4 linked regions of the Notamacropus eugenii genome follow. The protein of the gene in region 2 interacts with the protein of the main gene of each other region in a pairwise test. Links are inferred from orthologs where the notes say so. Each region holds a gene or a part of one and is shown on either strand. Other genes may lie near its edges. The genes, in order: CYB561, EDA, EMP3 and MAL.

Region 1 (7,526 bases), on a different chromosome or scaffold from region 2:
AAGACCTAAATCCAAAGCCTTTTCACATTTGCCCATAAACTTTCTTTTAAAAAATTAACTTTAGAGTAAATGCTTGATTCATGGCAAAAACAATTTTAGCTAAAATTTCCTTTTCAACAACAGAAATAAACTTTTAACATAATACATGCTCAGATGAAACAGGCTTGAAAATCACACCTATATATATATATACATGTACATTTTTAAAGCATTCTCATTTTCTTAATAAGAATGCTACAACAAGAAAACTCTTACAAAAAAAAAACAATTCATAACAACTCTTTTTAACCAATTCACTAATTAGCTTAACAATGCAATTTTTAATACAATATTTAGATGGATTACCTAAAAATTTAAACTTATTTAAGTTTACTTAAAACTTAAAAGAAGCCATTAACCTATTCAGCTCTTTTTTTTATAACCAAATGTAAGTTTCAAATTATCAAATTTCTATCACATCTTTTTAAAACCCCAATCTATATGTAATAAATTACAAAATTTAAAATCGTGTAACAGTTACATTAGATCAATGTTGCATCTAACAAATACCCATCCTTTGTTAATGGATCTAACATTTTTGGCAGAAATGCTCCTGGGTGTCTCTGCCCTCCTCTTATTTGTACCAGGATTCCCAAGGCCACCCCTTTCTGGCCCTCCCACCCTGCAAAGAAAAAGAAAAACCTAAACTTATTATCTTTTTACTTTAAATACATTGTCTGGCATCAAATATATTGATCTAATTAAACCTAAATCCAAAACTCTCAGCTCTAAGTTGCTTACTTGAGATTTTTTTTTTCTAATCTTCTGCTTACTTCCACCAAACTTTAATAAATTCTAACCTCTCTGAAACATTAAATTAAGAATGACACATTTCACCTATTCACAATTCCAAATACGACCAGAATGAATTCACTTAACTTTCTGTTATTTCCCATTACACTAAAACTTCTTCTTTTGGGTGAGGCAGGAAATGGTTAATTGGTTGCTAGCATGCCTCTTAGGTCTGAGGGAAAAAGATTTTTTTTTTTGTTCCTTTCTCTCCCTACTTGTCCCTCAGCCCCTCTGAAACTAGTCTGGAGGGGTTGAAGAAAGGGAGTAACAGGAATTTCAAGGACAGTTCAGCTCAGCCTTTCTGCTCCTGCTGGCTGACTGGCTAAATTTACAACCTTATCAGATAAAAACAGAGACACACAGACTTTCATTCACACAGAAATACCAACACAACATATACAGACAAAACATTTAACAGAATAGAATAGTACATATAGGTTTAAATTTTTGGCAAACCCAATCCTCAGAGGAACCATATTTGGGCCAGATTGTGCCTCCTCCTCCGATGTCTTTTCACCCCATACAAAACAACAGTACTTAATCATCTTCTTCTACATTCTTTTCTCTATAATTTGGTAATTCATGCCAATTTTGCAATCGGTTTCCCAAGGGACTATTTACCGGTATTTCTTCCTGACTCCACTCCGAAGCTCTATTCCTGGACTGCTTTTGTCCCATTTTGGTCGAGGGTTGTCGCCAACACCTCCGAGTCTGAAACTCAACGAATTGTGCTAGCTCCCTTGCTAGCTCTCCCGCTGGCTCTCCTGCTAGCTTCTCAGGAATTATGCTAGCTCCCTTGCTAGCTCTCCTGCTAGCTCCTTTGGTCGAGGGTTGTTGCCAACACCTCCGAGTCTGGGACTCAACAAATTGTGCTAGCTCTTCTGCTAGCTCTCCTGCTAGCTTCTCCTGCTAGCTCTCTTGCTAGCTTCTCTTGCCAGCTCTCAGGTGAGGGTCGCCCATCACCAGCAGTCACCCAGCAAACGTTTTTTGGGGGGGCCCTTCACCCTGGGGTCCCGCAGTCCACTAATTTGGTTGGGAGTTGTCACCTTCTCCCCGAGTCTATCTAAGACTCAACGAATTGACCCCCAGGCCCCCCCCCTGCGCTTACCGCTGGGTCGTATACGCGTACAAGTTGCCTGACTGCAAACTTCAACACCAACCAGTTGGCATTTTTACACACTTCACAGCTTCGGAGTCTTTGGAGTCCCTATCTCTATTCTTTTCTGTCTTCACTGAGTTCCTCTGCTTCGGGTCGTTACCTTGCAGAGAGGGAGGCCTGGCAGCCCTTTTCAAGGACGATGGGGAAATCTCCCCACGGGCGCCCAGTCTTTGAACTGAGCTGTCAGCCATCTCTCAGAAAGGTCACAGATCCCGGGCGTGCCCCCAAACTGTGTGGGATGGCTCAGGTCCCTACATAAATCAATTACTCAGAGGCCTCTCAAAGTGATGACAGAAAAGTGATTTATTCAATTCTCGAGAAGCGGGGCTCCCCTGTAGGAGTAGGAAAGCCGAAGACAAAGAACAGGACAGTGATTTATATAGACCCTAACGCAAGTCCCTCCTCCCCCCACTGACCATTATCCTCATTAGCTGAGAATATGGTCTTACATTCTAGACATGAAATCTAACCAATCCCTTTTGAAATGAAGACATGGAGGAATTATGTAAGTTTTGTCCAATCATTGAGACCCTAATACACTACACAGTTTTATATCCTTATATGGAACTATTCTATTCTAAAAATATTGTAACCTTGAGCCTTTAGGCCTTACCTCACCCCTGGGAGAAAAATTACAATCTGAGGAGTCTTCACTAAGTCTATCCCACTCACCCAGCAAAGCCAAGCATAATCCTGAATGAAAAAAAAAATGGACATTTAATGAATTTTTTCAGGATTTTGTTTAAAAAAACTAAATCTGAACTTAATAGAAGATATGACGTACAAGAGCCAAGAGAAAAATGAGGTATACACACCAAAGACTAGTTACACGGTACTCAGTAAGGACAGACTGTTTGCCTTTTATGTATGTAAAATGTATGTCTAAGATTGTTATTAGTATTTGGGTAGCTCATAAGAAAGGTTGGGGTAGACCTAAGTAAGATGTGATTTTTAAAAAGTAAAACTGTTTAGGAATAGCTAAAAAGGGTAATTATCTTATACAAATGAGGTGTGAGAGGAAGAATGAAAACAAGAGGGGGAGGAGGGCGCTGGAAACCTACTTTCATCAGGAATGCGTTCAAGAGGGAACAATACATATATATCTAGAAAAGTATAAAAGTCTTCTAAATTCAGAGAGAAATAAAATGCTAAGGGGATAGAGAGGGGAGAGAGGATAAGGGAGGGATCTTTAGAGGGGAAGGTAATGGAATAAGTTAAAGGGGGTTATAGGAGGGTGTTTAGATAAATGGAAATGGTAGGATAAGGGAGAGATCCTGGTGGGGGTAGGTTAAGTAATGGGCAAAGTAGAGGGTAGAAGTAAAGTAGAGGAGTCAGGAAGGATAGGAAATAAGAGATATGGACAAACAAAATAATGATTGGGAGTTGAATTTGTTAGGGAAAAAGGAGCAGGAGTGGTAATCATGATCTTGGACAAAGTTAGGGCTAAAATAGATTTAATCAAAAGAGAAAAAATAGGGAAACTACACTGTCAGCTCTATTTATCAATATTGTTTTGGAATATTTAAAACAACTAGACCAGTATAAGGTGGGGATATTGCTGTGGTGTAGAAGATGATGACTTGGTAGACTTGGAAAAATATAGAAAGACTTGGACTTATGAAGGAAGAGATTATCCACCCTCAGAGAAACAGGATAAATAAATAATATAGTCTTACGTAGATAGATATGAATGTGTATGTCTATATATGACCACAACTATTGATATCTAAGTATATGTATGTGTAAGTGTATTTATGTATGGGTATATATGTGTTTATGTATTTCTATGTGTATATGTCTCTATATATCTATATATGTATGTATGTGCATAGGTGTATGTATGTGTCCGTGTTTACTTGTAGCCTTGGGGAGGTGGGAAGGAAGGGGGAAAACACAGGAAAGACCAAAAGAAAAGTTACAAGGAGGCAAAGAAAGATGGACAGCTCTCTGCACAATGCACAGTATTTATTATATAGGCTTTCTTGAAATGGAAATTTATTGCTGTATATTTTGAATCCTCATGTTCTGTCATATGCATGGCAATGCTTTTTTTCTTTTCTTATTTTGTATTTAAGTTTAAAATGAAATTTTGCAAAAAAAAATGTTGTATTATGTTGTATAAATTATTCTTCTGGTCCTGATTGCTTCACACTTTGAAACTGTTCCTTTTGTCATTTCTTATGGTGCAGTAATATTCCATTACATTCATATACCATAATTTGTTAGCCATTGCCAATTAATGGACACCTCTGTAACTTTTAATTCTTTTGCTATCACAGAAGCACCACTATGATAATTTTTGTACGCTTATGTCCTTTCTTTCTTTGATCTGTGTAGCTTTAATGTTTCTATCATTGAGCCAGAGGTTCTGCTTAGTTTAGTATCTTTTGGTGCCTAGTTCCACATTGCATTCTACACCAAAGTGGAGGGAGTGTTGGTGCATGATTTTCTGTTTGCAGATGCTCCTGCACTCACTCCAGCCTCTGATGCTGAGATGCAACAGAGCATGGATCAGTTCTCTGCTACTTGTGCTAATTTTGGCCTAACAGTTAACACCAAGAAAACACAGATGCCCCATCAGCCACCACCACACCATCCATCTGTGGAACTATTGGTTACAGCAAGTTTTGAATGCTGTGGATAAGTTTACTTACATTGGTAGTGTACTTTAGAGGAATGTATATGTTGATAATGAGGTTGACGCATGCATTGCCAGAGCTGGCTTAGTGTTTGGGAGGCTCTGAAGAAAAGTCTAGGAGAGAAGAGACTAATTACCAAACTGAAGGTCTACAGAGCCGTTGTGCTGACCTCATTGCTGTAAGCTTGTGAAACTTATACTTGCATAAGTTACAGTATACTAGTAACATGCCAGAAAAACTGAATTGTCCTGAAAAATTACCCTAGGAAGATTCTGAAGATCACCTGGCAGGATAAGCTACCAGACACTGAGGTTCTTAGTCGAACTAAACTGGCAACTGTTCAAACTCTGCTTCAGAGAGCGCAACTCTGATGGGCTGGCCACATTGTTCGAATGTAAAATGTATGCTTGTCAAAAAGACTATTTTATGGAAAACTCACACAGGGCAAGCAATCACATGGTGGTCAGAAGAAGCAATACAAGAACACTCTCAAGGTCTCTCCTAAGAACTTTGGAATTGATTGTGTGACGTGGGAGACACTGGCACAGGACTACTCAGCATAGTGTGCCCACATCAGAGAAAGTGCTGTGCTCTGTGAGCAAAGCAGAATTGAAACAGTTCAAAGGAAACACAGGATGTGCGTATTTAAAGAATCCACCCCAAATGTTCACCTGGATTATTTATCCCTAACCTGTGGTAGAGCATTGTGAGCCTGTATTGGTCTGATCAGCCACACTTGGACACATTGAAGCTTGACTCCAGCATAGTGATGTCATTTTGGTTCTCTTTGAGAATGTACAACCAACCTTTTGGTGCATAGTTTCATATTGCTTTCTAGAACAGCTAAACTACTTCTGAGCTCCACCAGTGCATTAGTGTGCCTGTTTTCTCATATCCCCTCCAACAGTTGTCATTTTCTATTTTTTGGCATCTTTGCTAATCTGATGGGTATGAGGTGGCATCTCAGAGTTGTGTTAATTTGCATTTCTCTATTTAGTAGTGATTTGGAGCATTTTTATATGGCACTTGCTAATTTATATCTTTTGACCATTTGGGGGGAAATGGCTGTTGATCTTATCGGTTTGAATCAATTCTTTATATATCTTGGATGTGAGACTTTTATGAGAGAAACTTGCTCTCTATCAAAGTTGGTCATCACACAATGTTGTTGGTACTATATACAATGTTCTCTGAGGTGCTACCTCATACCCATCAGGTTGGGGACAAATGGTCCATGTGCATATTTGGTGCCTGCTCCCCAATTTCTTTATTGTCATGACTAGGGAAGACTGTGCTACTATTCAAAGCAGGCTAATTTCTGTACCAGGTGCCATCAACAAACATGCTGGCTCAATTCTTATTCCAGAATCCTAGTAGTTAGGATTGGTTTGAGATACTGCATGAAGCAGAAAAATGCAGCTCGGATCCTCTGTCATTTCAAGAAGGTGTAAAGAGCCTGCTTTGACTTGTGACCAAGCTCAGGCTATCCTGATTCAAAACAAGCAAAAATTTCAAGTTTCTCCATATTTAGAGAGTTTCATTCAGAGGCTTCACTTTAACCATATAAGTTGGAAGAAAGAAAAAGACAACTGGAGAATATGCTCCAGTTGGGTGGTTAGGGCTGAGATGAAGCCAATAATTTAAATAACATGATCTTACGTTTATATAGAATTTTGCAATGACAAAAGCACTTTCTTGTACCTCCTCTCATTTGACTGTCACAACAGTTCTGTAAGGTAGAGTGGACAAGCTGTATTGGAGCCCAGTGACTTGTCCAAGGTAATGAGCTGGGATTGGAAGAGTGAATTCCAAATGTTCTTCTTTACTCAGGCCAGCCCATGATTTTTTTTTCCCCAAGATTAGCCTGAATTGGAGAAAGCTGAACTTTAGCAACATTTCAAACTCATCCTTTGAATTTAGCTCAGGCATTGGCTTACAGCAGCAATTTTTAGGGCATGCTGGCTCTGCCAGAACCCTAAGCAAAAGTGCAAAATTTGTTTTGTGGCTTTAATCCAGCTCCCTTTGCTTCCTCTCCTCTATTACTCCAGACACCCTCTACCTTTAAACTCCCTTCTGGCTGGCTTCAGTTCCATATGCATGCAGAAAGGTCCATTTCATTCCTGTCACTCTAGTCCTTAAGTAGCATCCTCAATAAAGGTGTGAATTTGGCTTAATTCACCCACGGGCCTTGGTAATTTTAAGGAGATGCTTAACATAAATTAAGTTGGCAGACTGAGTTAGTACTGGTTTTCCTGTGTTTCTTGCCTATTTCAGGTTTCTTTTTCCTCCAGTTTCCCAGAGAGTAAAAATACATTCTCATTCCCACTTCTGCCCTATATACCTATCTTCTCAGTAGGCTTCATAAAACTGCCCTTACTTGCGGAAAATCAAAGTGAATTAGGAATATGATTTCTCTCTTCCAAGAATTGACGTATAAATTGTTTTATGCACATACAAACAAAACCTAAAGCATTCAGTATTACATTCCATCACCTGTAATATAATGACTAAAATTCTCTGGGCATTTAAGGCCCTCTGATGTCATTATTCTGTGCTTTGTCGATAGTGAGAAGACTTGGATAGCCAGGTGGTATAACGAATAGTGCTGGACTTGGAGTCAGTAAGACCTGAGTTCATATCCTGCCTCTAGTACTTTGTAGCTATGTGACCCTGGGCAAATTATTTAACCTCTGTCTTCTTTAGTTTTCTCATCTGTATAACGTGGATGATAATAGTATCTATCTTACAGGATTGTTATGAAGATCAAATGGTATAATGTAAAGTGCGCTGCAAGTCTTAAAGCCTAAGTGCTAGCCACCTCTTCCTCTGACTATATTAGTGATTGTGAAGTCTGAACCTCAGTTTCCTAATCTGTAAAATGAGGGCTATAAAAATCA
Region 2 (7,730 bases):
CTCTGAGCACATGCCCAGGGCCCACAACGACTTTTTGCCCTGGTCCTCAACACCTAGGAAAGGGAGTAGGAAAGGGAATAAGCACTTATATAGCACCTGCTGTGTGGCAGGTAATATGCTAATCATTTTCCAAATATTATCTCGTTTGATTCTCAAAACAATTCTTTCAGGTTGGTTGTTGTCCTTCATCTTCGAAGAGGACCAAAGTGACATCACCACTGTAAAGTGAAATTTCTGTGCGTCCAGCTGTGGCTGATCAGACCTGTACAAGCTCGGAATGCTCTACCACAGGCTGGGCACAGATAGTCCGTATAAATATTTGGGGTGGATATCCCAAATTGGAGCATCCTACATTTACTTCGTGCTATCTCAATTCTGCTTTGCTCAAAGAGCACAGCACCCTTTCTGACGTGGGCACTTCATGCCGAGCGGTCCTGTGCCAGTGTCTCCCATGTTGCACAGTCAAATACAAAGTTCTTGAGAGAGACCTTGAGAGTGCCCTTGTATTGTTTCTTCTGGCCACCACGTGATCACCTGCCCCGTGCAAGCTCTCTATAAAAGTCTTTTTTGGCAAACATACATTTTGCATTTGAACAACGTGGCCAGCCCATCAGAGTTGCACTCTCTGAAGCATGGTTTGAATATTTGGCAGTTCAGCTTGAGCAAGGACTTCAGTGGTGCTATTCTTAGCACCATTTTTTAGTTGGAGAAACGGAGGCGAACAGAGGCTAAGTGTTTAAATAGAAGTTAAGTCCAGGGTCACACAGCTTGTAAATGTCTGAGGTTGGATATGAACTCAAGTCTTCCTGACTCCAGGCCCGGTGCTCTAACTTCTGTGCAACCAAGCTGCCCTATACTCCTAGGTGCAGTCTGCACTAAATTTGTGATCCAGTAGTGGGAAATGAGTGACAAGGCTGCTACTCTGCATCTGTTTCTGCTCCCTGAACATGATCAGGGGTTCTGGGCTCTCTGTGATGGATCTAAGATTTCTTACCCTAGCTCACAGTAGCAGGCAGCTCTTTATTCAGTCCCCTTGAAGGAAAGCTCAACCCATCCCCCAGTGTCTGAAGACCTCCCTGTGCGTCTCCCTATGCGGACCTGGGCATGATGAATAATTCATTATGGTTTTAAAAAAATCCTTAAGTAGGACTTGGCCTTTTGAGTTTTCTAGATCTCTGTGGAATGCTTGTAGGCAAAAGCTCAGTTGTACTTCTTCCTTCCACCCTGCCCTTGTCTGGGTTTCAACAATCAGGGGAATAGGGCATTTGACCTGGGAGAGGGGGGCAGAAAGACATTTGCTGTTGCCAGTTGTTGTAAGGATACCTCCATTCCTTCCCCCACCATGTCGGTGTCCCTCTCTGTCTCTCTGTGTGAGGGCAGGCACCTTGTGAAAGTTGAGGGCAGCTCTGAAGAGTTGCCTGGATTTCAGTGTTATTTCCTGCATATCTGTGTTCTCCTGTGTTGTGGCTGTCTCTGGAGAAAGTCTCCAGTCTTGAGTTCTGAACCCTTCCCTAATTTCTTGAGCATGTCTGGATTTGAGGTGACAGGACCCCAGAAACCAATAGTTGTAGGACCCTGATAATGCTAATGCACAGCATGACATTTGGAGAGTTGGAGGGTCCCTGGGCTACAATGTTAAGAAATGGCTGCCATTTGCTTCCATTTCCTCTTCAGATAACAAGAGGTATCCTTTTACCTCTTCACAGGTTCCTTGGAGGGGCCTTTCCTATGCAAATGCTCTAGAATCCTTTCTGAGTCTGAAATGCATCCATATTCCATGGGATATCCCACCCAGATCAACCACTAGATCAACCTCCAGATCAACCTCCAGATCCAACCACCATACTCCACTGTATTAGCAAGTCAGGACAATCCAGAACTAGCAAGTTATGTGACCTTTGGCAAGTCAGTATCCTCCCTGTGTGGTAGTTTCCCCATCTGGAAAATGAACAGACTTGATTATCTAAGAGTTCTTAAGCTGGGGTATAGAAACTTTTTAAAAAATACATTGCTAATGGTATTTCAATAGAATTTGTTTCCTTTGCATTCCTATGTATGTGATTTAAACCCTCCTGAGAAGGGATTCATAATCTTCTTCATCTGACTGCCAAAGGCCATCCCTATCTAGAACTCAAATGTGAATGGATTTTCTCCACAGAAGCCAAAAAGGTGACAAGCCCCAGAAGTCTCTGAGCTCCTAAGGCCCTTTCAGCTTTAAGTTCTGTGAATGGGTTAGTTAGGATAAACCAACTTGACAGACATTTTCAGGCATTAAAGACAATCACTAATGTCTGGAGAGAGTGAGAAGGGACCTTACCAGGCCCTTCTCACTTTAAATGGAGCTATGGGCTGAGTCAATTTTCTTATTTGTAACAGGGCTATAATTAAATAAAACCTGTATATTGTAATCTGGGGGCAGGAAGGGACATGAGGATCATAGAATTTAAGAGCTGGGAGGGACCTTTAAGATTATATCGTCTAGGGGTGGGGAATCTGTGGCCTCAAGTCTATATGTGGCCCTCTAAGTCTTCAAGTGTGGCCCTTTGAGTGAATCCAAGCTTCAGGGAACAAATCCCCTTCATAAAAGAACTTGTTCTGGAAAACTTGGACTCAGTCAAAAGACCGTACCTGAGGACCTAAGCCCCACCTATTTACAGATGAGGAAACTGAGGCACAGAGTTGCAGTGATTTGTTCAAAGTCACACACCTTGTAAGTGTGAGGGACAAAACTTGAGCTTCAGGGTCATCATTTGCAAATCCAGAGTTCTTTTTACTGTACTAAGGAAACTTTTCCCTCTAACCCCGTGACCCTTTCGTTCAATGATCTGAGCTGCCTCTTCCACTCCAGGTCAACCCAGTCAGCTCTAGCCCTAGAAAACTGTGAGTCTTTGGATCTGTCCTTTCCACCGTCCCTCATGGGCTCAAGGGGAAGTCTGACTTCAGTGTGTTTGTTGCCTTCTTGTGTTTGGTGTAATGTTAAAGATTCTGCCAGCTGTGTATTCTCCAGCTGCACATCTGGAACTCTTGGCTGACTTGTTGAACTCCCTCCCAGGGATTTCTCCAGGGAGTGAGTGGGGAGGTGTATTAAGGCTAGGACAGCTGCCTGCAAATGAAGATGCCAGAGTCCCCAGGCCACTCTCCCCTCCCCACCCCCACTTTGGGAAGATCTGCTCCATCCTGGTCATCAAATTCTCCCCTTTGTCCCCTGAAGGGACAAGTTTAGCTCTTTTCAGGAGAAAAGATTGGATTGTCATTGAACTATAGAGCTCAGTGGGACTTTAGACCAGAGAAATAATCCAGAGCCATAAGGATAAAACATGGAACACAGAATGTGACTCTCTGGAAAGACCCCAGAATCAAAAATGCTCGAGTTGGAAGAGGATCTCCGAGGCCTTATTTAGCCCAAACTTTACTTTACAACGAGGAAACGGGGAGGCGGGGGGGGGGGGGGGGGGGGGGGGGGGGGGGGAGTCACTCGTTCAGGCTTACTTACGTAGCTAGCTAGTGCCAGAGATAGAACGAAAACCCAGATTTCCTGGTCGCTCAAGTCAGCATTCTCACATCACATTAAAAGGAACTCTACTGCTCCCCCCCCCCCCGCACCCCCCCGCAAGAATCTCGCTAAGTGGTTGTCGAATGAATGAATGGCTATTTCAGTCCCCTCGGGCGGGCCCCAGCACTGGCTCTCTTGCTCCCAACTTCTGTCTCTCGCTGTCTCTGTCAGATTCTGTCTCCCTCCACCCCTACCTCTTCTCAGTCCCCTCGGGCGGGCCCCAAGACTGGGTCTCTTGTGTTCCCTTCTTCTCTGTCTGTGGCTGTCCCCCCTCTCCCCCTCCCCTCCGCCTTGGGCTCCCAGGCCGTGGCTGCTCCCGGGATTCCTGTCCCGGCTTCGTCCGTGCGCCAGCTGCCTGCGGCTTGGACCTCGGCCCTGGCTGGCAGGTTTCATTCCAAAGCCCTAACTGTTTTAATTACTTGGTCTGTGAAACCCCTGGAAGGGAGAGAGACGGAGAAGGGCTGCGCTGGGTTAGGTGGGGGCACTGGGAGGTGACGAGCAAACTTCTCTCCGTCCAGAGCTCGTTTTCCACTGGTTCAGGTCCACGAGCACTTAGTTGGCCCCTGCTGTGAGCGGGGAAGGCATGAGGCGTGGAGTGGAATCGAGTTGTGATCCAGCTCCTGCTCCCCCTTCGCGACGGAACCGGGCACAGGACAAGAACTCGCCTTTCCAGATCGCCCCTCATTGGGCTAGCCTCCCCCTGGCAGGCGCCCAAGGGTTAACTGGAGGCGGGGTCCAGAGCTGAAGGGCAGCCGCTCCCGCCAACGGGAATGGGAAAAGCGGGAAGCTGAGGGAGGAGCGAGCGGTCTGGGGCGGGACCGCACGCGGCCCGGCCCCGCCCCCTGAGAGAGGGACCGGGGTGGAGTCTTGGGGAGGGCGGGGCGCGGGGCGCCGGGAGCCGGGAGGCCGTGCCGATTGGATGGCGGAGCCATCGCTCCGCGGCCACGGGGCGGGGCCAGGCCGCGCCCCCGCCTCCCTCCGCCCGCCCCCCCGCCCGCGGAGTGGGGCCGCACACGCGGCTGCTCCCCACTCCGGCCCGCCCAGCCGCCGCCGCCGCCTCGCCCGTCTGTCCGTCCGTCCGTCCGTCAGTCCGTCGGTGCGTGTGTCCATCCGAGGTGCGGCGGCCGCGGGTGCCCCGAGCCCCCCGGCCCATGGCCGCTCAGTAGACGCGCCTGACAGGGCTCCTTCCGAGAGTGCCGGCCCAAGCAGCAGACGCGGCGGCGGCGGCGGCGCGGGGCCCACGGGCCTCCCGGGCGGACGGACGGGCGTGCGTGCGTGCGTGCGTGCCAGAGAGTGCGGGAGGCCCCCCGGAGGCCATGGGTTTCGCCCAAGAGCCTGCAGCGGCGCGCGGGGAACCCGGGCCAATCGTCGGGCCGGTCATCGGGCCGGGCCGCCGCCGGGCTAGCCAGCGAGGCTGCGGCTGTCGTGGGGGCTCGGCTTCTGCGGGCGCCTGGAGCAGCTGCCGCCTCTTCCTGGCTTTCTTCGCGCTGTCGCTGGCCCTCCACCTGCTGACACTCTGCTGCTACCTGGAGCTGCGCTCGGAGCTGCGGCGAGAGCTAGCCGCCGAGGCCCGCCGCGCCCCCGCCCCCGCCGGGCCGCCTGCCGGACCCCCCGACGCTACCGTTGATGCCTCCCGGGACTCTTTGGCCGTCCGCCGCCGGCGCCAACGCGGGCAGCTGCCACCTCAACTCCAGCAGCAGCAGCAGCAGCTGCCACCACCCGAACCCGAGTCTAGGGACACGGCGCTTCTTCCCGACCCTGGGGACCCGCAGCAGGTGAGTCACCCCTCCTGCCGGGCGGCCCAAAGAGGGAGGGAAGAAGGGTACACCTGCTCCCTTGCCCTACTGATCGCCTGTCACCTTCTGCCGCAGTAACCGGGAATGTAACTAAGTCATTAAGGAAATGGCAAAACTCATTCAGTTTGAAAGTAATTCACAAAGCTGGTCACAAAGTAACTGGCAAAGTTACTTACAAAGTTGGCCACAAAGTAACTGGCAAAGTTACTTACAAAGTTGGCCACAAAGTAACTCACTAAGTCAGTCACAAAGTAACTGGCAAAGTTACTTACAAAGTTGGCCACAAAGTAACTGGCAAAGTTACTTACAAAGTTGGCCACAAAGTAACTCACTAAGTCAGTCACAAAGTAACTGGCAAAGTAGCTCACAAAGTAATTCATCAAGTCACAAAGTAACTGGAAAAGTAACTCACTAAGTCAGTCACAGAGGACCTGGGGAAGAAATTCCCTAAGTTTTAGTCAAGGAGTATCTGGCAAAGTGACTAAGTCAGTTGGAAAGTCAATTACAAAGTAACTGGCAAACTCATTAAGCCAATTGCAAAGCAAAGTCATTGAACTAACCAGGGAGTAGAGGCAGGCCCCTTGGAGGGACCGGTCAGCTTCATGCCTGAGGATAACTACTAGCTCTTAGCAGCTACAAGGCTGCCAGCCGGAGCCAGCTGCCAGCAGCTCAAGTGAGTGCTGTGTGCCCCAGGGAAGTAACTTCTTAACCAACTCCATGTCAAACCATGTGAGATGATTTGGGTTTTACCCGCAATTTGAGAGCCATACCAGCTCGATCATTCCTTGGGAAGGGCTTACTACCTCCAAGCTATTTTAAAAGTTTGGGGAAACACTCCCCTTCCACCTTGTTGCATGTTGCCTCTGTCCCTGGAAGCTAAGGATGGGGGGGGGGGGGGCAGGGAGAGGAGGCAATGTCCAGTAGCCACATGCTAGAGAAATGAGATCTCCTCAGAGGAGCCTGAGGCAGCCTAACAAGAGACTGTATTATGTGTATATGAACTTTCTGGTGGTTTGGTTTGAATGGGTCAACTTTTAAGCTTACTTTTTTCTCCTCTTATAGTTAACCCTTTTAGGGTACATTGAGAGCCATTCTAATTGAGATTAAATTGTTTGTAAAGTGTAATAATTGCAGTGAAACAGCCTTCTGGCTTGATCACGGAACAGTCATATGTTTTTATTACTTGGGAAGAAGAAGGTACTGAGGTCAATTAGGTGCTTGAAGGTCAAGGGTAACCCTGGCATTCTCTCTGGAATATAAGAACTCAGTACCTTAGTGTCAGCCTGTGCAGGTGGGCTGTAGAGTTGGGCATTACTATTGAGGATAACTGAACATTGCTGAAGATTTAAGACTGAAGCTTTCTCTAGCCTAGATTGTAAAGTTACTTTGCGGTTTCTCTTGCTTTGCTAGCAGGCTCCAACCTATAGAAGGACTGATCAGAGAATAAGCAGGCAAGCTTGAAACTTTACACTCTGTGGCAAAATGATAATTATCTGAGATTTGGGCTCCTTTACATAACTTTCTCCTCACCCCTTCAAGCTACCCCCCTCCTCCCCCAGTAGAAATATTTTGCAGTTAAACTCTAATGGAAAGGTAAAGGAATTCAGTATCCTTTTTGGCATTCAATATATAGACAGTCCCATGTTTATAATCTGTTGATAAACAGAACATCTGGACCTCTGGGGCTTCCTTTCTTGGGGGAAAGAGGCCAGGACTGACCTCTAATGGGATTTGGGATACCTATTCTCCTAGAACGTTTCATACTGTCCTGCCTAAGTTTTAAACCTCTGCCTTCCTAGTAGGCCTGAAATTGTATTGTCCTTCTTTGTACATTTGGGCTGTAGATGCAAGCATGCTAGTACCTTATCTTTCTCCTGAGTAAGCTAGAGTGCCCCAGTCAGAGTCAGAGGATCTTGTTAGCCAAACTGATTTCAGCTTCATCTTCCAGATTTTCCTTGAATCTTTGAAACTTTCAGGCAGTTTTCAAAGTGACTTTAGCTTAGGTGAACTTCTGTGTATCTTAAAGACAATGTTTTGAGCCTTCCTCGATGTCTAAATTGAACCATTTCCAATCCAATAGTTCTGTGGAGTCCTGGGTCAAGTTTCTGGTGCTCTAGGGCACCCTCTGCTGGCTGGGCTGGGATATAGAATTCTATGCTGACAAGGATTCATGCACAGGGAAGTAAACAGCTTTTCAGGTTCTGGTAACGTAGGGCAGATTTTCATATTTTGTTTTTCAAAACAAATAACTGCTGTGGCAGCAGGGGATCTTGGATGGAGAGAGATGAGAAATACTCCAGTGTGCCGTGGGCATGTCCTGGGTCATGCTCCTCATCAAATCATCTATAGGTAGCAAAGCCAAATGAATGGGGGGCAGGGGG
Region 3 (7,961 bases), on a different chromosome or scaffold from region 2:
TCCTGGCCAGGTCATCTGGGCACCAGCTGCCTGAGTAAGAGCGGGAAAGGCCCCCAAGGTACCGTGTTAGAGGCAGGAAGTGCATGTCAGAGGGGTTGGGCAGGGAAGAGGAAGAGGACCGAGAAAGCTTCTTCTTACTCCCCCATTCCACAGAGGAGGAAACTGGCCAGGGTCAGGACCTAGCCCAGGACAAGGCAGCTGGAGAGGCTGCTGTCTCACTGGTTCGGGGGCTGTGAGCCAGGGCCAGCTGGCCAGGGGAGGGGGACGTCACTCTCGTTTCCTCAGGTGGATGTAAATGATGCCGCTGGCCAGCGCCAGAGGAAATGCCACCCAGGCTAGGGCAAAGCAGTAGCCGAAGGAGCCTCCAGCATGATGAAACTCCTTGACGTGTATGGCGTAGATAAGGGCCCCCGTGAACACTGACACACCTAGGGGAGGGGGCAGGGCAGAGGGAGTCACACCCACCCCCTCCCTGCAGCCCCCAGTCTGGTGCCTGCCCTCCCCTCCCCATCCTCCCTTCCAAGGGGCACCCATGCCCGAGGCCCCAGCCCTGGCTCACTCACTGGTGCAGAGCTGGCACAGCCCTGTGGCATAGAAGAGACCCCCTCGTTTCATGTTGTACAGCTGGAACATGAAGAGGATGAAGGAGAGGCAGCAGAACACCAAGGACAGCACCATGAGGGCCTGCACGGCCTTGAGCCAACCTGGGGAGCAGAGCCGGAGACTCTTAGCTGCCATTCCCTTCCCTACGTCTGCCTGGTTAGACTGGGAGCTCCCAGGGGGCAGCAACCCGGCTCCTTTTGTATTGGCACTCCTGGCCCCCAGCACCATGCTTGGTATAGTAGTGTTTCATAAATGCTATTTCATTCATTCATTTGTTTGCATTGGCCCCACCCTCCTCAGAAGGTGGAATCCCAACCCTGGCTGTCTTGGGGCCTTGGGACTTTGCCCCTCAGAACTGGGGGCTGACCCCTGGGACTGATGTTAATGGGCTGTGGCAATCCAAACCCTTCTGCCCCCCCCTCCATGCAGAGGTGTAGTTGGGTGGGGGGAGCTTTGGGGGGTGCTCTCCCTCACCGTTTTCGCTGACATTTTTGCATTGCCAGATCTCCCGGGAAGATTGGTTCAAATGGGCCAAGCATTCCTTCCAAAGGTTCAGTGAGTCATTCCCAGGGAGAATCCACCATGACTGAGACCAGTCGGGGTCAAAAAAAAAAAAAGGCAGAAGAGAACAAGAATTAGGGACGGGGGAGGGTGGGGGGGAGGGTGGCCGAGGGGCAGAGCCTGCTTGGAAGGAGGGGAATTGATGGGTGGGGTCCTAGGGATTTTCCTTAAACTCCAGTTTGACTGTATCTCTGCCTCCCCCTCAGTGAAGTGTCCGGACTCCTTGGCTCTTGGCTAAAGCTGTCAACCCCTCTGTTCAGCTTTAAGGTCTTTCTCTCGTTGGGATCCCCTCAGGTTATGGGCTCATCATCTTTGCCCTCCCCATCCCTTTCCTGGGGTACATCCCCTTCCTCACATCCTCGGATGTCTTCCCTCTGCGCCCATGGGCAGGGCCCTCCCCCGTATGTACATCCATCTATTGTATGTATGTACAAGTGTGTGTCTGAGTGTGTGTGTGCATGTACCTGTGTGTACCATTGTTTCTGCCATATGCGGTAAGCTCTTTGAAGGCAAGGACATTCACTTTTGTCTCTACCCCAAAGGTGCCTGTATTGAGGTGCATCGCACGGCCAGATGCTTTCGCAGGGGTGGAAAAGGCAGGGAAGGGGGGGGAGCAGGGAGGAAAGCCCTGGGCCGAGCCAGAACACCCCTCCCTGAACCCATAATCTCACCTTGTCCAGGGTGGCCACAAAGAGCAGGATGAGAATGAGGATGTGCAGGGCAGAGACAGCCACCAGGAGCAGGGACATGATGCCCACAGAGTCTGGGGGGAGGGGAGAGCCAGGCTGGCACCTAGGTATGGAGGACACTCCCAAGGGGGGAGTTTAGGGGCATGGCCTGGGGATCTAGCCTGGATATTCCCCAGTGGAGTTGAAGGAGATGCCTGCATCCTCAAAGGATGGGGGGGGGGGGGGCGGGAAGCGTGTGTGGAGTGGAGCTGCAGGGGGATCTTCCCCTCCCACACTCCCTGTGTTTGCACCATCTGGGCCCTCTAAGAACTAGAACCCAGACATGAGGATTGAAACCTGCCCCACCTAGTTCCTCCCCACTAGTCCCCAGTTTGTGAGCTGGAGTGGGGCGCTGCCCTAGGGACTAAGACTCCACTAGGCTCTCCTCCTGTCTTCCCCCGCTCCTTGGTGGGGGTTCAACATGAGTCACTGTGACTCATTCCCTTCTCTCCCACCAGAGAAACCCCAGCCCTGGGGCCTTGCTACTGTCCTCCTCAAGTCATCGCTCGGTCTAGGGCAGGGCAGCCAAACACCTGGGGCCTTTCAGGGCTATGGAAGTGAGATAGAGTGGTAAAGGTCTGGGTGCTAGCAGGACTAAGTGTGGGGATCCCTAGGAGAGCAAAACTGAGGTGTAGGAAGCTTGGGATGCCTGGCTTAGTGCAGGGCAGTTAAGGGAATTAGTTGGGTCTCTTCAGAGAACTGGCCAAGAGGGAGAATTGGGGTCTGGAAGTTAGAACAGGAGAAAGACAGGAAATCCTGAGCTGGGGAGTAAGGGCTGTTAGCTCAGATGTCTGGATCCCCGGAGGAAGGAAGACGAGGCAGGAAGAGACAGCTGGGGTCTTTGGCAGAACACCCTCTACTTCCCCCCACCCCCAGCATCTGTGGGGAAGGGAATGTCCCATATGTGGATCTCAAAGAGTGTTGCCTCTCCCCTCTCCCTGCCCCCTCCCCTTCCTGTCCCCTTCCTCTTCCCTTCCCATACCTACTAAGTGCTTTAGGATTCTCACCTTCTCCTTGGCCAGGTAGAAGGTATCTGGAGGCAGATGGGGTCTTTCCTGTCTCAAAGGCTCCTTTCTTTCTCAAATAACGGAGAAGCACTTAGCCAGCGCAGCCAGAGGAAGTCAGAGCTAATGCTCGGTCCCTTTTCCCGGCCTCCCTGCCCCGCCCTGCTCTCTCCCTCCTTCTCTCCACCTCTTGCCCGGCCCCCGCCTCCCTCCCTTCTTCCTTCCTCTGAAGACCCACTCCCTTCTCAGTACGGTCCAAACCACTCTCTCTCTTCCACCCCGCCTAGGTCTCTGCCTCTCTCTGCATTTCTCTGTCTGTGGGTGTCTCTCCTCTGCCTCTGGGATATATTCTCTAACTTCCTTTTTATTTACAAGCAGGAGAAGCCTGGGAGGGACCCAAGTTTCCATTGAATCATGCACCATCATACTTTCTTTATGTCTCTCTGTCTTTCCCTCTCTGGGTGTCTCTCTGTCTCTGTATCTCTATGTTTGTGTCTTTCAAGTTATTCATTTGTCTACTTCAGCCTTGTGTCTTCCACTTTCTGTCACCACTGCCCCTGATCCCAGGGCTTGCAGAGACTGAGGGCTGGGGAAGGTAGCTGGAAGGTAGGACCTTGACTTGGGAAGCCAACCAGTCAGTAAATGTTTATTAATTACCGACTATGTGCCAGGCACCGTATTAAGGGCTGAGGATGCCCCTCCTCCCGCCAAAAGGCTAAAAGATAGCTTTAGGAGTTTATGATCTAATGGGGGTAGACTACACACAAAAGTATATACAAAGCAAGTTGTAGACAGGATAAGTAGGACATTAACAGGGGAAGGAGCTGGGATTCAGAGGGTTGGGGAAAGCTTTGGGGGAGGTCAGTATCAGAGTGGAGGTGTTGAGGTCAGGAAACCATAGTGTTGAGATTTGGGTGCTCAGGACACCCAAATGAATTCGACCCGAATCTTCTTTCAGCCAAAGTAAAACAAAGTTTATTAAAGATTTGCCATTTTGGGTTGATTCTTAACAAGCCTCTTGTATTGACAAGTGGGCCAGATAGAATCTCAGCGAGATTGAATCTAAGCCAGACTGAATCTGAGCACCTTCATGGAGGTGAGATGGAATTTATATACAGAAAGATTGTGTGAGGGATCTGGCGATGGTCTAGGGTGATGGGAATTGGGGTTTAGGGAGGATCTTGATGGGACTGGGGTGACTGATCAAAAGTGGGAAGCAGGTGAGGCAATCCAGAGGTAACAGGTAATGGAGGGCTGGGCTAGGTGAAGGGTAACGGGCATCTGGGTGTGAAAAGCCAGATTAAGTGGGAAGATTGAAGGAGGTTCCCAGAGTCTACCACATCGTAGGGTGGGGTGTTCCCGGCATGGGAGATAGGCAGAGAGAATGTCTGGAGCCCAGAGATGCAATGTCTTGCTTGGGGAAAACCAGGGTGGCCAGTGACACTGGATTGGAGTATGTATTGGGGAATGAGGTTTAAGGAAGGAGGGCGCCAGGTTGGGACGGGCCTTGATCTCAAGAGGGCTCCGCATTTGACCCTGGAGGTGGATGACAGGGAGCCATTGGAGTTTATTGAATGGAGGAGTGACTTGATCAGATTTGTGTTTGAGGAAAGTCACTTTGTTGAGTGGAGAAGGCAGACCTCCCCCCCAGCAGTTACTGCCATAGTGCCCCCCGCCCCCCGTGGCGTTTCTTTCATTCCAGTGGGGGAGGGGAGAATAACCAATACACAGATAATTCGATCTAAAACACAATACAAGTAATGTGGGTGCAGCAGGGGGGCCGCCGTCTAGGAGCCTCCACCAGCCAGAGGAGCGGGCTTTGGAGGCAGTGACTTCGGAAAGTCCTTCATTTTACGGGCCTTTTTCTTCTCTTTGCACCCGCTGCTCCTGGGGTCCCCCAGCACTGCTCGGTACCCAGGAAGAGGCCCCGGGCTTGATGTGATCTGAAGCTCAGATCTGCCACCGGGCAAAGCTCTGCTCAGATCCGGAACAGAAAGCCAGAGCAGAATTGGAACCCAGGGCCGCCTCTGACTCCAAACCCACGGCTCCTTCCTGGCTAGCAGACCGTGCTTGGCCGAACCGGGAGCCGTGGGCACAAGAGACGGATTTGTAGCCCTGAGAGGGCAGGTGGGAGGTGGGCGCGCCCACCAGGCTAGGGCCAGGAGGGCCCCTCAGGCTGATGCTGAGCCCCGGGAGGAGAGCGAGGAGGCTACTGCTTCCTCCCTCAGGAAACCGCAGGCAGCTTTGGGGCACGCCCTGTGCCGCGGGCGGCCTGGAGCTGGGCTGCAGCCCGCCTTCCTTCGAGGCCCAGCCCCGGGGAGCTGCGGCCTGGCAGCACGTGGAAGGTGGCTCGGGCTGGGGGCGGGGCTCCCTCCCACTGAGGGAATCGGGGAGGAGCCCCGGAGAGAGGCTCCGCCTCCTGCTCCGAGCGGTTCGAGGGCGTTGGTGCTCAGGCGCACTAGGCGGGGGCGCGAGGGAGGGAGGCGGCGGTGAGCAGCTCTCCCTCCGCCCATCTACGCCCCATTTGCCACCCGCAGATTAAGAGCCCTTCTCCCCTTAGCTCCGCCCCCTCGGCAGCTCCTAAGCCCCGCCCCTCACAAGCTCCTCCCTCCCGCCCCAGCCCCTAGTCTGCTGCTCCTGCATCCCTCAAATCCCCCTTGTCCCGCCCCCTTAACTCCTAGCTTCAGCCAAACCCCCATCTTCCTCCCCAAGCCCTCCCACTCAAATCCTCCCGAGTCTCTCCCCTCAGCCCCCACCCCAGTTTCTACTACCCACGTCCCCTTTGTCCCGCCCCCCAGCATCCCCAGCCACACCCTCCCAAAGCTCTCTTAAATCTTCACTCTCCCGCTTGACCCCGCCCCTCACCGCTTTAGCTCCGCCCCCAGGCGGTGCCACGTTCTCCTCTCAGCTCCAGCCCCTTTTTCTCAACCCCGCCCCTCCCCTTGGCTTGCATGCCTCTGCTCCGCCAGCCCGAGGCCCGGGGAGGGGTTTGGAGGAGATCCTCTGAGTCAGCCTCCCCCAGAGGGAGTCGGGGGAGGGCCGAAGGGAGGGAGAAGGAGGGAGGGGGGAGAAAGGGAAAGGGGAAACCCGAGGGAGGAGCGTGAAGGAGGGGCCCCAATCCCCCTCCCCCCCCACCCCGCCTGGGCCAGCTTCCCCAATCCCCGCCGCCGGCCCTGTAGCCCCAGCAACCAGGACCACAACAGAGGGCGTAATCGGGCGAGGCCCGAGTCTAGACCTGTAGGGCCCCCGGTGCCCTTGTGCCCCCCAACTTCCCAACCTGGATCCTCCACTGCCCTCCAAGGGCCGCCCAAGTAGACTTCTCCCCGCAGCCACCATGCCGCTGGCCATCAGCGTGCGCTCGGAGGACAGCGAAGCCTACCTGGATAGCTCCGGTAAGTGCTCGGGCCGGGGGGTCGGAGCGGGGCGCTGGCCCGGCCTCCCTCCAGCTGACCCGGCCCCCGCCTGCCCCCCGCCCTGCAGAGGGGGAGCTGAGCCGCCTGCAGAGACAATGCCGGGTGATGGAGGCGGAGCGGCAGGCTTACGGCCGGGAGATCCAGCAGCTGATCCACAAGCAGATGTGAGCCGGGTGCGGGGGGTGGAGGCTGGCCCAGGGCAGGTGTGCTCGGCGAACGGAGAAGGGCGTTCGTGGCTTAGGGCGCAGGCCAGCTCCAGCTCTCTCGGGCTCCGGCCGCAGGGTGGAGATCCAAAGGCTGCAGCAGGAGCAGACGGAGCTCCGGGTGAAGATGGAGATCTCGCAGAGCCAAGCCCAGAAGCTCCTGGACCAGGCGCGGGAGAAGGACCTTCGAAACCTCCTGGAGCGCAGGCAGCAGCTGTACAAGGAGGTGATCCAGGCGCAGGAGCACCTGAAGAAGCTGGACCAACAGGTGGGGCCGGGGCGGGGGGCAGTGCTGGGCTGGGCCTGCCGGCCAATGGAGGACCCACCGAGTCCCTTCTCCACGGCCCCACGGGGCCCCAGATTGCCAAGTGGGAGAGTCGAGTGTTGCTGCAGCTGAAGGACCTCAGGGGCCCAGGCTTAGTCCTCCAGAGGAAGGCCCGGGACCTCCGAAGAGTGAAGATCTTGGAGAACCAACTAGACCGGGTGGGTGCTCCTGGGGCACTGATGGGGGGGAGGGTCCCAGGAGGCCAACAGAGCTTCTGGTGACCCTGCCATCCTGATGCCCTGCAGGCCACCACCCGCTTTGACACCCAGCTGGTAAGGAACAGAATCCTTCGAGAAGAGCTGGGTTTGCTGCACATCCAGAGAAATCGTTTTCTGTATATCAACCAGCAGCTGAAGAAGGTCAGGCCCCCCAGCCCTAGGCAGAGGGAGGCGGGAGCAGGGCTCAGCTTCTCTCCCTCACCAACTTGTTGCCCATGACCGTGCCCATGCTAAGCAGGAGCTGCAGGACATCCGCTCCACCATTAGATCGCACATAGACGAATCCAACTCAGCCTTTGATGCCAGGTAACCTTTGGCTCTTCCCTGGCGTGCCAGGGGGTGCCCTCTCTGCTCTGGGTGAGTGTGGGTACTGGGTTTGTGACAAGTTGGGGGTGGCTCTGTTGGACTCAGGGAGCCAACCCCCTCCTCTCAGTGTTGCTGGGATTGACTCCTGAGACCCTGGGCAGCACCAAGTTCCTTCCCTCTAGATGTCTCTGGAACCCTCTTTAAGACTGAGAGAACCAGCCCTCTCTATTAGGCACCTCTGCGACCCTGCCTGGTGTGCAGTCAACAGGCCCTTCAAGTCTGTTGTCTGGGATGTTCCCTGTCCTCTCCAGGGCAAGGGAGCCAGGCCCCTCCATGTTTTTGGTACAGTCCCTGTCTAGGACTGAGGAAACCAACTCTAACCTACACTAGGCTCATCTAGGTTCTCTGTTGGGGCCAGGATTGAGGGTACAGCCCCTCCTTGTGTCTTCAGGCAACTTCCTTGAGACCCCATCCAGGGCTGAGGGAGCCAGACTTCCAAGAGGGCCAACCCCATCTGTGCTCTTGTGGCCCCCCCCATGTGTCCCTGTGGGCCCCCCATGTGCTTCTGCATGTTCCCCCAATGTGTCTCTGCAGCCCCCC
Region 4 (7,875 bases), on a different chromosome or scaffold from region 2:
TTCCTAGTCTCCATGTCTTTGTTCATACTATTCTACTTTGCTTGGAATGTTCTCCCCACCCTGACATCTCTACCATTTGAAACTCTGCCCATCCTTTAAGTTCTAGATCAAAGGCTACTTCCTTCCTGAAACTTCATGATCCCCCTCTTCCACTGGAAGTGATTTCTTTTGCCCCAGAACACTTTATTTGTCTTATTATCATAACCAGCCATCATGCAAATTGAGCAAATGTTCTCAATTCAGTTGGGGTGGGGTCACAGAGACTCTCAAACATTTTTAATCTCCTTCCTCCAGCCACTACTAGACTGTAAACTCTTTTAAAGGCAAGAATTGTGTCATAGACACATTTGTACCCCTTCAATTGCCTGGCGTAGTACTTCTATCCAGTAAGTACTCCTCAAATTTTTATTGAATTAAACATGATTACATGATAACTAAATAGAAAAATTATATCCAGGAGTCATCCTGCTGGCCCCAGAGACAGCTATCATTTAAAAAATCTCCCAAGTACCCTGAAAGCCTCTTTCAGCAACACACTTTCAACTTTTGATCTGAATAAGAGGAAACTACTTATTAATCAGGCAATAAGCATTTATTAAATTCCTCCTGTGTACCAGCCCCTACCAGTACCTATTATGTATATTAGATACTGGATATACAAACACAAAAGTGAGATGGTTAATCCCTGAAGGAGTACAAATTCTACTACTACTATAGAATCTGAGCACATGACTTAGAATTTAAAAGAACAACTGTGTTTGACTTGGAGTTGACTAAGAATAACAGGAAACAAATGAACAATTCTTGGTAGTTGGTAACATAAGCACACAGCAAATTCCAGTGGGTGGTGGCTGGTATCCAAATGTTTTCTAACATGTATGCAAAAGGAACTACCATAAGAATTTTCATTGAGTTTTTCAACTAGTATAGTCTTTATGAACTTCCCTTTGAACAAGGTCATAGAGAACAAGGTGAAATACGGAGGTCCAGAGAAGTCCAGGGATTTGCCCAAGGTCACACAACTTTCACTGACTATAGTGGGAGGAGAATCTTAAGCCTCCATCTATTTAAGCACCAACCTAGGTATAGTAGGAATAGTGCTCTGCACTATTATTATGCAAACAAATGTTTCTATTGTAATCTTTTCAAATCAAAGCTATCCAAACCTACAGAGAAAGGATTTAAGGTACATATCAACAAGTCCCACAGTTTTTGAATGAGGGATAACACCCCCCCCCCAAAAAAAACCCCAAGTCCTCATAGTATATCCCACCCAGATATTAATTGTCATAATTGTTCTGTTTTACAATCACTGAGTTTCTTTTGCTTATTCTTTGTCTCACAAGATTCTGGGCATTTTCACTGACGGTCTCCCAATCCCAGAATGCTCTTCTTTCTCATTTTCTACTCCTGGTTTTCCAAGCTTACTTCAAGTTCCAGCTAAAATCCCACCTTCTACAAGAGGCTTTTCCTAGGCCTGTTTAATTCTAGTGCCTTTCTTTTGAGATTCCCCTCAATGTACCCTGTATATAACTTGTTTGTACAGAGTTGGTTATTTCTCCATTAGCCTGTGAGCTCCTGGAGACCAGAGCCTGGGCATTTAGCACAGTGCTTGGAATATGGTAAGTACTTAAAAATTTTTGTTAACTGACTGATAAAAAAACTCAAAAAAACCCCTCAGTATTTCTCTCTCCCCCCACCCCGGGTAATAGATTTATAGCTGGAATAGACATTAGAGGTCTTCTATTCCAACCCCCTCCTAAGTTAATGCCATAATAAACCAAATAAATCTTTATTTTAAAGTTACACAATTTTGACAGTGATTCAAATTATATTTCTCTCATCAAGGGACATTATAAAAAAGCTTAGGAATCAGTACAGGGATAAAGAGATGTATGCAATGTTCAGCTGAAAACATAAAAACGCTTCCATTTGGTCATTACAAGTTGAAAAACAAACTTTAAAAAATTACTTAAAACTAGTCACACTCAGAATCTTTTGGGTAATGTGCTTCATTTAATACCATATTAACAAGTTGGTTTTTTTTTTTTTTTTACTGCATTTAGAATTTAGGTAATTCTCTAAACAATGTTTTGTGGTACCCCCAATTTATGTTATAACATTTCACAAAATCTAAGAAAGAAAACAATTATCAGCTGGCTGTAATTACAAATTACAGGAATTGAGGCAGAGAGAGGTCATAGGATCATTAGAAGTGACTTGCCTAAAATTATTATCGGTAGTAAGAGGTAGAGGCGAAATTTGAAACCAAATTCTTCAACTCTAAATCCAGAGTTCTTTACGCTACACTCTGAATAAATATAGTTTAAGGCAGTTTTGTTTTTAAACGCAAAAAGGACCTTGGGACCAAAGCATGTACTTGCTAAGCAGTATAAAGTTTTAAGAATGACAGCTTTATGGGAGTCTTTTGATTCTACGTAGACTATCAATTGCGTCAATTTGAGTTGCTGGAAGAAATGTTTGAAATCTCCAAATTCTAGAAAGTCTACAGCCCTAAATGACTTTGGGGAGGCTCTAACAGGTTTATGATGGAGCTCACAGGCTGGAAGGCTCTTATCAGCTTGTGCAAGGCTCTTTGGCACTTGGACTAGGAGATCGGGAGTTAAATCCTAGCTCCCAGTTTAGTAGCTGTCTATGTAGCTACAGCAAATCTCTTCAGTTTTCTGAGCCTTTCTGCTTGAGTAAAGGGAGGACAATATTTGAACTAGATGCCTCACGGGGTTGCTGTGAAGAAAGTGCCTGGGAAATAGGAAAGTGTTAAAAACCAACTGGGTATGAGCCCCATTCTTGTGCCTTCCCCCTTGTCAAGGGAGTAGGAAAAATCCTGACACTCGCAGAAGAGCTAGTAGCAGCATCATAGTCTGTCAAGTCTGCAGATGTTACCTCTATCTATCCTCATTCCCCTTCCCCATGGCCAGGAAATAACAGATATTTTTAAAGACCAACTCACAAATTCAAAAATGAAAAGCAGGTCTGGGAAGGTGGCCAGCACAGAGAAGCCACTGGGCAGGGAGCCGCCTCCCGAAGTTGCTGCAGGGGCCATCCTCTCTGCTTTCAAGGCTCTAAGAGCAGCCGCACTTGGTGTCGCTGATTTTCTGGGAGACAGAGAAGGTCCTTCCTCTCACCGGCTCTACCCGTACTCTCCGCTGGTCCTGGAGAATTCTGAACTGGTCTGATGGCCAGGGCGCCCAGGATTAAGAGGGGGGGAAGGAAGGAGGAGGAGACTGGCGCCCCCAGTGCGGGGTGTGGCAGCAGGTGTCTCCTCCCTGAAGGTGTAGACAAAGGACCAGAAAGACGCTGCCAAATCCTCATCTAGTGGCACTGGACGCGGTGACTGTGCCAGAGGAAACCCCGAGGATGCCAAGATGCCTACCCTCCCTCCCTCCCTCTGGCAGGCAGTGCCCGGTTCAGCCCCAGAGGGGCGCACTCCCCACTATGCTAGCCCAAAGTTGGATGGGGCTAGTTCCTGTGCCTTCTGTTCCTCACCCCCACCTCCAACCTGGGCTTTCTCTACTCGGTCTCAAGGGGAAGGGCACCGGCTCTCTCAGCGGGCCGGTGTTTCCAGTGTCCAGGGTTTAGAAGGTTTAGGTTGAAAGATCTGCCCTTGAGACGTGTGGGTGGGTGTGGCAGAGGAGTACGGGGATGAGGGGAATAACATTCACTGGATTTTAGGAATCAGAGTTAGAAAAGATGCTTGGGACTGGACCTGTGATTTCATCGGTTTAGGGAACTCCTACCAATGTAGGCTGCCCATCTTCGCGGCAATGTACAGTCTTAGAGTTGCCTGGGGGCATTGAGGTGTGACTTAACCACTTCCAGATGGTGAAAGACCTTTGGAAACGTCTATTTCTACTCCTTCACTTTACACCTGATAAACTCAAGGTCCAGGGTAGTGAAATGATTTATCTAAGGTCATGAAGCTACTAAGATGGGGGTAATTTCTCAGGTCCCTTCCAGGACTAAATTCTACAAGCGTGTAAGAAACAGATAGGTTTTCGAACTCAATCTAACTCTTTTGACTTAGATCCATGATCTTTCCATTAGCCTTCCGTACACGTCTCCCCCATCCTCTGGCCCCTAGTAGTATCTTCCCCCCCCCCGCCCCCCCCCCCCCCACTTTCCCGTAGGCTCCTGTAGTACCGAAATTAAACAGTTCTTTCCTTTCCGAAAGCCACACCTGCAGCAATAGGGCGAGTTTGTCGCCTAGGTATTTTTCCTTCCTCAGCCTCAACGCCCATCCTATATAGTCAAGAGAATGAATATCCTGGGTTTTCTTGGTCACTTTTCTACGTCGCGGCCACTTAAATTTCAAGGCTTCGCATTTTAAAAAGCCCTCTTACTCGGTAGAATGTTGACTGTTCAGTTTTCAGGTGTCTGCTTTTACATTCAAGCCTTCTTTATCCTCCTGCCCGGCCCCTCAGTGAGTTACAAAACCAGGCTAAGAAACTGAATTAAACCTCAACTGTATTGCTTTACCTCCTCTCCTCCAAAAAACAAAAAGAAAAAAAAAACAATTGTTGGGGGGGCGGAGGACACCATTTGAAAGTCACTGGGTTGTCTATGTCTACCTGGAATTTTGGAAAAGAAGTCTTTTAAGTTACTATGGAATAGAGTGGAGACAGGACACATAGTGAGGAAGATCTGAGTTTGAATGTTGCCTCAACTTTGCGTCTTCGAGCAAATCACTGGATTCCTTTCAGTTTTCCTTAGCCGTAAAATGGGGAGAAGGGATAAGAAAAGCTGAACCTTACAGGACTGTAGTATAACCCAATCAAGGTGTAATATGAAAAGACTGTAAAAAACAAAAGATAGCAACAAAATGCATGATCAAAGGGGTGCTTTTTTGAAAGTGAAGTTGTGATTACTAAGAGCCGGAAGGGTTCATCTTTTTTTCATTAAACAATTATTTAGTGTTTTATTTATTTCCCAGTTACATGTAAAAAAAAATTTTAACATTCATTTTTAAAACTTTGAATTCCAAATTCCCTCCCTTTCTTTCTTTCCCCCTTCCCTCACTGAGAAGGCAAGTAATTTGATATAGGTTATAAATGTGTAGTCGTGTAAAATATTTCCATATTATGTTCGTCCTTCGTTGCCAAAGAAGACCATGTTAAGTCAAAAAAGTATGCTTCAATCTGTATTCAGGCACCATCAGTTCCTTTTCTGGGGATGGATAGCATTATTATCATAAGTCCTTCAGAGTTGTCTTGGATCATTGTATTTCTGAGAAGAGCTAAGTCATTCACAGCTGATCATCTTATACCATTGCTGTTGCTTTGTACACAGGACATTTCATTTTGCATCAGCTCATGTAAGTCTTTCTAACTTTTTCTAAGAGCATCCTTCTCATCATTTCTTATAGCACAATAGTATTCCATCATAGTCACATACCACAATTTATTCAGATATTCCCCGGTTGAAGGGCATCCCTCAGTTTTCAATTCTTTGCATTCAGAGAAGAGCTGCTATAAATACTTTTGACTATATAGATCCTTTTCCTTTGTGTTTTTTAATCTCTTTTGGGATACAGACCTAATAGTGGTACTGCTAGATCAAAGGGTAGGTTTTATAGCCCTTTGGGCATAGTTTTCAACATTTGTCAATTTTCTTTTTTGGTCCTCTTAATAAACCTAATAGGTATGAGGTAGTACCTCAGAATTGTTTTAATTTGCATTTCTTGAATCAGTGGTGAGAGTATTTTTTTATATGCCTATAGGTAGCTTTGATTACTTCATCTGAAAACTGTTCATATCTTTTGATCATTTATCAGTTGGGGAATGACTCATTTTTACAAATTTGACTCAGTTCTCTATATGTTTGAGAAATGAAGTCTTTATCAGAGAAACTTGCTTCATATTTTTTTTCACAAATACAATTGCTAACTATGTTTCCCTCCATCCTATTCTCCCTTGCCACCTGGTTTATTCTGTTCTCTCTCTCTCCTTTCACCCTGTCCCTCCTCAAAAATGTTTTGCTTCTGACTACCCCTCTATCAACCTGCCCTCCCTTCTATCAGCCTCCCCTTCCCTTATTCCCTTCCCCTCCTACTTTCCTGTAGAGTAAGATGGATTTCTATACCCAATTGAGGGTGCATGTTATTTCCTCTTTGAGTCAATTTTGATAAGAGTAAGGTTCACTCACTCCCCCTTACCTCTCCCTTATTTCCCTCCACTTTAAAAGCTTTTTCTTGCCTCTTGTATGTAAGATTATTTACCCCATTCTACCTCTCCCCTTCCCTTTCTCCCAGGACTTTCCTCTCTCAGTCCCTAATTTTATTTTGTTTACATATCCATTCATATTCAACTCATACCTGTGCCCTCTGTCTATGTATACTCCTTCTAACTGCCCTAATAATGAGAAAGTTCTCAGAAGGTACAAGTATCATCTTCCCATGTAGGAATGTAAACAGTTTAACTTTATTAAGTTCCTTATGATTTCCTCTTCCTATTTACCTTTTTATGTTTCTCTTGAGTCTTGTATTTGAAAATCAAATATTCTATTAAGCTCTGGTCTTTTCATCAAGAATATTGAAAATCCTTTATGTCATTGAATATCTAATTTTTTCCCTTGAAGGATTATACTCAAGTTTGCTGGGTTGGTGATTCTTGGTTGTAATCCTAGCTTTTTTGCCCTCTGGAATATTATATTCCAAGTCCTCCAATTCTTTGATGTAGAAGCTGCTAAATCTTGAGTTATCCTGACTGTGGCTGCACAATACTCAAATTGTTTCTTTCTGGCTCCTTGCAATATTTTCTCCTTGGGATCTCTTTCAGAAGGTGAATTCTTTCCATTCCTATTTTCCCCTGTGGTCCTAGAATATCAGGTCAGTTTTCCTTGATAATTCCTTGAAGATGATGTCTAGGCTCTTTTTTTGATCAAGGCTTTCAGGTAGTTCAATAATTTTTAAGCTATCTCCTCTGGATCTATTTTCTAGGTCAGTTGTTTTTCCAATGAGGTATTTCACATTGTCTTCTTATTTTTTTATTCTTTTGGTTTTGTTTTATTTTTTCTTGATTTTTCATAAAGTCATTAGCTTCCATTTGCTCCATTCTAATTTTTACAGAATTATTTTCTTCAGTGAGCTTTTGGACCTCCTTTTCTCCATTTGACCAATTCTACTTTTTAAGAAGTTTTTTCTTCAGTGAATTTTTGTGCGTCTTTTTCCATTTGGTCAATTCTGCTTTCTAAGACATTCTTCTCCTCACTGACTTTTTATAACTCTTTTACCATTTGGGCTAGTGTGTTTTTTAAGGTATTGCTTCCTTCAACATTTTTTTATGTGTATCTCCTTTACTAAGCTATTGACTCATTTTTCATGTTTTCTGGCCTCACTTTCATTTCTCTTTCCAATTTTTCCTCTACCTATCTTACTTGATTTTCAAAATTTTTTTTGAGCTCTTCCATGGCCAGAGACCAATTCATATTTTTCTTGGAGATTTTGGATGAAGGAGCTTTGAATTTGACCCTGATTTTAACATAGCAGAATTTAAGATAGCAAAATTTTAAGTAGGAGAGGAGCAGAATACAAGAAGAAGAGTCAGTTTAGGTTTATAGGTGTGAGAGAGTAGGTGTCAATGGTAGTAACCAGCAAAGTAGGGAAAGTAGACAGGTTGGAACTTGAGAGTGGACTTAAATGATACCAGTGTTGATCTTTAGGACATATTTCCATTAGTCTGTGGATAGAAATCAGGAGTTCTAGCTCTCACTTCTGGGCTTTATCTGTTAGAACAGTGTTTTCCACCCTCAACTGTATTATGGGTACACTTATGGGTAAAATAACCAAATCACACAAGGTTAAAGTTTCAGTCTTCTGTTTCTTCCCTGAGGAAGGCAGGAGCTCAAAGCAGAGAGAAG

The links.
Region 1: the proteins of EDA (region 2) and CYB561 interact in binary tests that used the Homo sapiens proteins (3 or more experiments, as listed by UniProt). The two-hybrid records come from large-scale screens. The link is inferred for Notamacropus eugenii from reciprocal best matches to the Homo sapiens genes EDA and CYB561.
Region 3: the proteins of EDA (region 2) and EMP3 interact in binary tests that used the Homo sapiens proteins (3 or more experiments, as listed by UniProt). The two-hybrid records come from large-scale screens. The link is inferred for Notamacropus eugenii from reciprocal best matches to the Homo sapiens genes EDA and EMP3.
Region 4: the proteins of EDA (region 2) and MAL interact in binary tests that used the Homo sapiens proteins (3 or more experiments, as listed by UniProt). The two-hybrid records come from large-scale screens. The link is inferred for Notamacropus eugenii from reciprocal best matches to the Homo sapiens genes EDA and MAL.

Annotation. Positions count from the first base shown.
Region 1 is NC_092873.1:344,382,241-344,389,766, forward strand, and holds the start of CYB561 (transmembrane ascorbate-dependent reductase CYB561), read left to right. Parts: upstream 1-4,141; 5' UTR 4,142-7,526. UniProt on the Homo sapiens protein: Transmembrane reductase that uses ascorbate as an electron donor in the cytoplasm and transfers electrons across membranes to reduce monodehydro-L-ascorbate radical in the lumen of secretory vesicles.
Region 2 is NC_092879.1:100,925,632-100,933,361, reverse strand, and holds the start of EDA (ectodysplasin-A), read left to right. Parts: upstream 1-4,547; 5' UTR 4,548-4,869; coding exon 4,870-5,328; intron 5,329-7,730. UniProt on the Homo sapiens protein: Cytokine which is involved in epithelial-mesenchymal signaling during morphogenesis of ectodermal organs. Functions as a ligand activating the DEATH-domain containing receptors EDAR and EDA2R. May also play a role in cell adhesion.
Region 3 is NC_092876.1:12,891,964-12,899,924, forward strand, and holds the start of EMP3 (epithelial membrane protein 3), read right to left. Parts: upstream 3,074-7,961; 5' UTR 2,900-3,073; exon of another isoform or gene 2,875-2,899; intron 1,957-2,874; exon of another isoform or gene 1,928-1,956; 5' UTR 1,914-1,927; coding exon 1,836-1,913; intron 1,190-1,835; coding exon 1,078-1,189; intron 705-1,077; coding exon 564-704; intron 429-563; coding exon 268-428; 3' UTR 1-267. Other genes in the region: ODAD1 (outer dynein arm-docking complex subunit 1), read left to right, coding at 6,231-6,995, 7,083-7,196, 7,294-7,361. UniProt on the Homo sapiens protein: Probably involved in cell proliferation and cell-cell interactions.
Region 4 is NC_092872.1:605,721,803-605,729,677, reverse strand, and holds the start of MAL (myelin and lymphocyte protein), read right to left. Parts: upstream 3,402-7,875; 5' UTR 3,065-3,401; coding exon 2,972-3,064; intron 1-2,971. UniProt on the Homo sapiens protein: May be involved in vesicular trafficking from the Golgi apparatus to the cell membrane. Plays a role in the maintenance of the myelin sheath, and in axon-glia and glia-glia interactions.